2 linked regions of the Macaca mulatta genome follow. The protein of the gene in region 1 purifies or fractionates together with the protein of each later gene. This does not show direct contact. Links are inferred from orthologs where the notes say so. Each region holds a gene or a part of one and is shown in the gene's direction. Other genes may lie near its edges.

Region 1 (2,918 bases):
TGACCAAGCTGGTCTCGAACTCCTGACCTTAGGTAACCCTCCTGTCTCGGCCTCCCAAAGTGCTGGGATTACAGACGTGAGCCACCGTGCCTGTCCGCACCCCTGTGACAATGGAGCAGTCACAAGATTTTGGCCACTCAACTCCAAAACATATTCCACGTCTCACCACTTTGAACCCCACAGTCTCCACTACATCCAGGCCAGTGTCGTCTCCCATAGATGGTGCAGCAGCCTCCTCATCAGTCTTACTGCTTTCTCCCTCCTCATCCTACAGCCTATTCTCCACATACAGCCAGGATAATTCTAAACTGTGAATCAGATCTTGTCCTTTCTCCACCTTTCTTTTTTTTTTTTTTTTTTTTTTTTGACAAGGTGTCACTCTGTCACCGAGGCTGGAGTGCAGTGGTGCGATCATAGCTCACTGCAGCCTCGACTTCCTAGGCTCAAGTGATCCTCCCACTTCAGTCTCCTGAGTATCTGGGACCAGAGGCATGTGCCACCATGCTTGGCTATTTTTTATTTTTTTGTAGAGACTTGGTCTCACTACATTGCGCAGCCTGGTCTCTAATTTCCAGGCTCAAACAATCCTCCAGCCTTGGCCTCCCAAAATGCTGAGATTACAGACACACACTACCATGCCCAGCTAATGTTTTAAATTTTTTGAGAGACAAGGTGTTGCTATGTTGACAGGCTGGTGATTTCCATTTTTAAGCAATGTTTTGGTTCAGCGTGGAGAGTGAATGGGAGGGAAGGGGAACAGGGTGGCAGCCATTGAGGAGGCCACAGCAGTGGTCCAGGCAGAGGTGATGATGGTCTGGACAGGGTGGTGGCATTCGTGACTGGCATACGTTGATGAACTGCTGCTACGTTTCAAAAGAAGAGAAGATTTGACTTGCTGACTTAGGAGGTGAGAGAGAGAGAATCAGGGATGATTACCCTGGCTTTGCACCATAGGGTGGGTAATGGTCTAGGGACAGAAATTGAAGAGCTCTGTTTTAGCTCTGTTAAGTTTGAGATGACTTAAGTATAGAGACATCCAAGTAAAGGAAGCACTTCAGTTCATGAGTTTGGAGTTTGAGACTGATAATATAAAATTGGGGATCACAGATATTGAATGGCTATTCTTATGAATAACTAATAAAAACTTAAATTGAACAAGAAAATAGTCCCATCCATAGGTTGACATTGAATCTGACCACCTGACTGTTTTGTCTTGAGGGTGCACTAGTTAAAACTAGGCAACACACAGTAGAAGCTAAATCCATTAGGATGTGTTCCGCAGCAAGCAACAAAATAACAGACAAAGAGTAACTGAAACAGAAGCAAGCTATTACTCCCCATCTGCCATGGGTGACTGGTTAGTTCAGCAGTTCAGCAGCTGTCAGGACTCTGGGTTCCTGTCTCTGTGATGGTCTTCTCCATGTTGTCAGATGGTTGTTGCAGCTCCAAGTATCATAAGTATCTCACAGTGTTCAAAGGAAGGGTGCGTTCTCCAAAGCCTCTCCTCTAAGCGGGAGGAAAACCTTTCCTGGCACTCTCCCAGCAGACCTCCCCATCCGCTCCCATTGGCCCAAACTGGGTCCCCGGCCTATGACCTAGCTGCAAGTGAAGCTGAGGGTGGAAGTCTCTGGCTTTCACAGTGGGAGGGGCTCAGCTTGCGAGCGAGGTGGGGAGTGATGGTTGCTGGGGGGGGCCACAGGACCTGCCACCCCTGGGCTCTCATTTCCCAACTGCTTCCTTTTTTAATTCCACGGCTCCTTTTCAGGGATGTCAAACCCCGAAGTGATCCGAGCTCTGGAGCGTGGATACCGGATGCCTCGCCCGGAGAACTGCCCAGAGGAGCTTTACAACATCATGATGCGCTGCTGGAAGAACCGTCCGGAGGAGCGGCCGACCTTCGAATACATCCAGAGTGTGCTGGATGACTTCTACACGGCCACAGAGAGCCAGTACCAACAGCAGCCATGATGGGGAGGACCAGGGTAGGGCCAGGGGGTGCCCAGGTGGTGGCTGCAAGGTGGCTCCAGCACCATCCACCAGGGCCCACGCCCCCTCCCTACTCCCAGACACCCACCCTCGCTTCAGCCACGGTTTCCTCATCTGTCCAGTGAGTGGGTTGGACTGGAAAATCTCTTTTTGACTCTCGCAATCCACAATCTGACATTCTCAGGAAGCCCCCAAGTTGATATTTCTATTTCCTGGAATGGTTGGATTTTAGTTACAGCTGTGATTTGGAAGGGAAACTTTCAAAATAGTGAAATGAATATTTAAATAAAAGATATAAATGCCAAAGTCTTTACCAAAAGGTTGGTTTTCTTGTCCTTCCAATTCCTGAATATCTATTTGCCATCTTGCTGTATGACAAGTCAGAAAGTGTGACGGACTCTCCTGGGGACCAGAAGTACAAAGACAAGTGGGGTTCAGACTGGGTGCAGTGACTCCCACCTGTAATACCAGTGCTTTGGGAGACTGAGGGGCGGGGGATTTCTTGAGCCCAGGAGGTCGAGGCTGCAGTGAGCTATGATCATGCCACTGCACTCTAGCCTGAGCAACAGAGTGAGACCACATTTCAAAAAAAAAAAAAAAGAAGAAGAAGAAGAAGAAAGAAAGGAAAGAAAAGTGGGGTTCGATACTTGAGGTTTTCTAACTGTCCTAAAATAGTTGCTGGCTGTATTCGTTTCCTCTTGCTCCTGTAACAAATTACCACATATTTGGTGGCTTAAGGCAACACAACTGCATAACGTTACTGGGCCAGGCATAATGGCTCATGCCTGTAATCCCAGCATTTTGGGAGACTGAGGTGGGTGATCACTTGAGATCAGGAGTTCAAGACCAGCCTGCCAACATGCTGAAACCCTGTCTCTACTAAAAATACAAAAAATAGCCAGGCATGGTGGTGGGCGCCTGCTACTGGGGAA
Region 2 (4,232 bases), on another chromosome or scaffold:
GGCTTTCGGATGACGCCTTGGAAAGGCAAGGACAGCTTGCCGACTGGAGGGCAGGCAAAAGGGCGGAGACAGGCCAGAGACGGCGGCCGCAGTTCACTGACCAGGAGTATGGCCTAGGGGTTCTGGTGCCAAGGCTGAAGGGGAACAACTTGGCCAGCCGCTCTCTGGCCGGCGTCTTCACGCGGCCTCCAAGAGCTCCTGTTGCCCTGCAGTGGCTCCTAGAGACTCCCTCCTTCCCACGTCCAAATAGCTGCAGGAGGGAAGTGGGAGAAAAAAAGCGAACCAGCTTGAGAAAGGGCTTGACGTGCCTGCGTAGGGAGGGCGCATGTCCCCGTGCTCCGTGTACGTGGCGGCCGCAGGGGCTGGAGGGGGTCCCTCCCGTAGCGACTCCAGTCTCAGAGTGCAAAACGGTACGCCCGCAGAGTCGCCCCAGGTGCTTGGGTGTTGTGTGATTGACGCGGGGAAGGAGGGGTCAGCCGATCCCTCCCCAACGCTCCATCCCATCCCTGAGGATTGGGCTAGTACTCGCGTCGTCTCCGACAGGTCAGAGCCGGTCCCCGGGTGGGGTCGCTGCAAAAACCCTGCTCTGGCCGCAGCCGGAGAGGCGGAGCCCCGCGGGGAGGGGGCGGGCGGGGGCGGGACCGCCGAGACAGGCCTGGAAACTGCTGGAAAGCCGCAGCGCCGCCGCGCCTTCCGCCGCATGCCGGCAAAGAGTCCCGCCGGCCCCGGCCGGCGCCCTCCCCCCACGCTGAGATACCCCACACTGCGAACCCTCCGCCCTTCCTCTGCTCCTGGGAGAGTCAGGATCTGGGGCTAACCAAGGTCGGGTCCCGAATGCCAGTCCCTCTGTCGGGATGCGAAATGTGTAGGGCATATGCTAGGAAGAAGATTGGGTATGGGAGCAGCGGTCGGAGTGGTTAGCTGCCTCGGCTCTTTTTAGGTGTTTCCCCCGGGCTCTGTCCTTGGGTGTGGGGACTCCTGCCTCACAGGTTTTTAGGGAGGTCAATGGATTCCTCGCCCGTAGAGACACCGTATATGCCAAATGAGCACTCCTTATCCCAGCTCTTGATGGGGTCAGGTCCTAGACATGAAGATATGGGGCTGTGATCACAAGCAAACGTGTGGGTGGATCCGTTGCTTGGGTTCTTCCCCGCCCCCTCCTTTTTTCGGACCATGACGTCAAGGTGGGCTGGTGGCGGCAGGTGCGGACTTGACAAGCATGCTCCTTTAAGGCGGAGGGATCCACGGGAGGGCGGCTGTTCTGTGCTTCGCCTTATATAGGGAGACTTGGGGCACGCAGTAGCTCTCTCTAGTCACTCCGGCGCAGCGTTTTGTGCCTGGTAGTCATCAGAAAGCAAGCCCACGTTCTTCTCTAATACGTGTAAGCCTTTTCTTTTCAAGGTAAGGCTGAATTCTTCGTTAGGCTTCTTTAGTGCTCTTTCGTGTTGCTCTTGTTTTTTTCTGTCCTTTAGGGAGCCTAGATACCGGGGTGGCTTGTGGATAACGCCCTGGATTTTTATAGGGTGAGGGTAGTGGTAGGTGAGGGCTCTTGAGTTTTCCTCGGTTTTCTCTAGTGTGCTTGGGCGGTGGGGCTTTCTCTTGGCTCCTCCTAGCCGTAGCGAGGTGGGCTGTGGGGCTGGGGCAGTGCGCGGCGGGCAGCTGCACGTGGTGGCCGCGCGGCCCGGGACGCTGCCATTTTTGCCCCTCCACTTCCGGACGCGGCTATAGGGCGTCGGAGGGGGACCGCAGGATGGCGGGGGTGCCTGCTCGGGTGACTCAGCACGGCCCTGTGGGACTGGCTTTGCCACATCTCTTATCGGACGCGTTGTTAAAGCCGCCTTGGGTGCTTTGTTTCTGTGAGGGTTCATGGTGTGGGAGGAGCGCTTTCGGTCTCCAGCACCCCATACTCCCTCCTTCCAGATCTTTATTGCAGTCCCGGTGGAGGAGGGTTGGGGAGGGGGGCAGGTTCTGGAAGATTCATGGGCTCCCTCCTCCGCCCGTCCTCTAGAGCTGAGATTGTTCTGGAAGCTTCTGGATTCTGGCGCCCCGCCCCAGTGCCCGGATGCTGGGGCGAAGGAGGGTGCACGGCGGCGCCCCCTCCTCGCGTGGTCCCTGCCGACGCATGTCCGGCAGTGACGAGTGTCGGCCTGGTGGTTACGGCCACCATCTTCCTTCTGTTGGGTTTGGGCCTGTTCTGTAATTTTGTCCTGTGAAGGGGTCGTAGTGGAGCTTTTGGCTTATCGATTCTTTGTCCGGATTTAATTGCCCCTCGGGCGGGTATCCTCTGGATCCCAGGTTATTCCTCCCTGCAGTGTAGGGTAGGAGTGTCCCGCCCTTGGGCTGGTCTTAGGAAGACATCTCAGGGGGAGCAGTTTAAAGTTAGTGCCAAACTAGTTACTTTGATCTCCAAATGAAGAACTGTAGGTAGCGATTTTCACATTTAAATTTGTGTAAGGATTATCTGGGATCTCTGGATACCTGGGTTGGACCAGCATTATGAGTTTCTGCCATACTACCGGATGACGCTGAGACTGCTGGTCACCACTCTAAGTAGCTGGGTTCTGTGACATTTGGTTGAAGAACATTCAGCTTATTTTCTTTTTCCTTCTGAATTTTCAGGCTTCCCACTTAGTGTGTAGCCTGAGATCTTTTAAGAGAATGCTTTTTCGGTCTTTTCGGAAGGGATAGTACTCAGGTCAAACCAGTCTCAACTCTTAAGGTCCTAACAAATGAGATGACCTTTAGGATTTTAAAATGTGAGGCCTTCATGTTTTGTAATTAATGATCATTTTTATTTTAGATGCCTGAGGAAGTGCACCATGGAGAGGAGGAGGTGGAGACTTTTGCCTTTCAGGCAGAAATTGCCCAACTCATGTCCCTCATCATCAATACCTTCTATTCCAACAAGGAGATTTTCCTTCGGGAGTTGATCTCTAATGCTTCTGATGTAAGTGCTGTGGTTTCTATATTTGGTGTGTTTATTTTTTTGACACTCTTCGTAGAGAGGAAAGGAGTGGTTTGGCCTTTGTTGGGGACTACTATTGAAGGGGGTAAACTTGCAACTATTCCAAAAAGATTTGTCTTATTCTCTGGCCATCTTGAACTTGAAAGGGAAGTGACTATGTCCAGAAAAAGTGGGCTCATGTAACTAACTGTAGTTCTAAAGCCTCAAGATAAGGGGCAATCAGATTTGAGGCTGAGAGAGGTAAACCAAGATTTTCTTTGAAGACACGGGCTTTAAGAAAGCAAAAGTGACCGAGCGTGTTGACTCACACCTGTAACGCCAAGGCAGGAGGATCACTTGAGCCTAGGATTTCGAGGGCAACCTGGGCAACAGCCAGACCTTGTCTCTGCAAAAAATTAAATATTAGTTGAGCACAGTGGCATGTGCCTGTAGTCCCAGCTACTTGGGAGGCTGGGGTGGAGGATGGCTTGAACCAGGGAGGTCAAGGCTGCAGTGAGCTGTCATCCTTGCTACTACTGCACTGTAGCTTGGGCAACAGAGCAATTGCCTGTCTCGGAGAGAGCAAAAGTAAGTTGCTGTTTGTATTCGTTTCAGGCCTTGGACAAGATTCGCTATGAGAGCTTAACAGACCCTTCGAAGTTGGACAGTGGTAAAGAGCTGAAAATTGACATCATCCCCAACCCTCAGGAACGTACCCTGACTTTGGTAGACACAGGCATTGGGATGACCAAAGCTGATCTCATAAATAATTTGGGAACCATTGCCAAGTCTGGTACTAAAGCATTTATGGAGGCTCTTCAGGTACTGCAGTTCTGTAGGCATACACCATTCATATTCATCAGTGTTCTTTATTTTTTTTGCTGCTTTAAATTTTGTGTTTGACTTTACAAAAACTTGTTGGCAGGCTGGTGCAGACATCTCCATGATTGGACAGTTTGGTGTTGGCTTTTATTCTGCCTACCTGGTGGCAGAGAAAGTGGTTGTGATCACAAAGCACAACGATGATGAACAGTATGCTTGGGAGTCTTCTGCTGGAGGTTCCTTCACTGTGCGGGCTGACCATGGTAAGTTAGCTTTTCTGTTACAAGGTAGCTGGGTTAGAGTTTTGTGGGCTCACCAGTAGCAGAAATTTTGAGCATCCTGTCAAGCAGTTCTTCATAGCAGTTCCGCTAATACTTTATTAATTTGGTGAAGTCTCAACTGCATATACTTTCGTCCTGTTACACGCTTATGATTGACTCTTCTAGGTGAGCCCATTGGCAGAGGT

What was found. Proteins that work in one complex are often made in the same cells at the same time.
Region 2: the proteins of HCK (region 1) and HSP90AB1 purify together in Homo sapiens (affinity purification with mass spectrometry; 3 studies listed by BioGRID and IntAct, with this or other methods). This does not show direct contact. The link is inferred for Macaca mulatta from reciprocal best matches to the Homo sapiens genes HCK and HSP90AB1.

What each region holds. Positions count from the first base shown.
Region 1 is NC_133415.1:84,924,129-84,927,046, forward strand, and holds the end of HCK (HCK proto-oncogene, Src family tyrosine kinase), read left to right. Parts: intron 1-1,765; coding exon 1,766-1,968; 3' UTR 1,969-2,305; downstream 2,306-2,918. UniProt on the Homo sapiens protein: Non-receptor tyrosine-protein kinase found in hematopoietic cells that transmits signals from cell surface receptors and plays an important role in the regulation of innate immune responses, including neutrophil, monocyte, macrophage and mast cell functions, phagocytosis, cell survival and proliferation, cell adhesion and migration.
Region 2 is NC_133409.1:137,866,760-137,870,991, reverse strand, and holds the start of HSP90AB1 (heat shock protein HSP 90-beta), read left to right. Parts: upstream 1-1,301; 5' UTR 1,302-1,401; intron 1,402-2,800; coding exon 2,801-2,947; intron 2,948-3,559; coding exon 3,560-3,766; intron 3,767-3,869; coding exon 3,870-4,029; intron 4,030-4,212; coding exon 4,213-4,232. UniProt on the Homo sapiens protein: Molecular chaperone that promotes the maturation, structural maintenance and proper regulation of specific target proteins involved for instance in cell cycle control and signal transduction. Undergoes a functional cycle linked to its ATPase activity.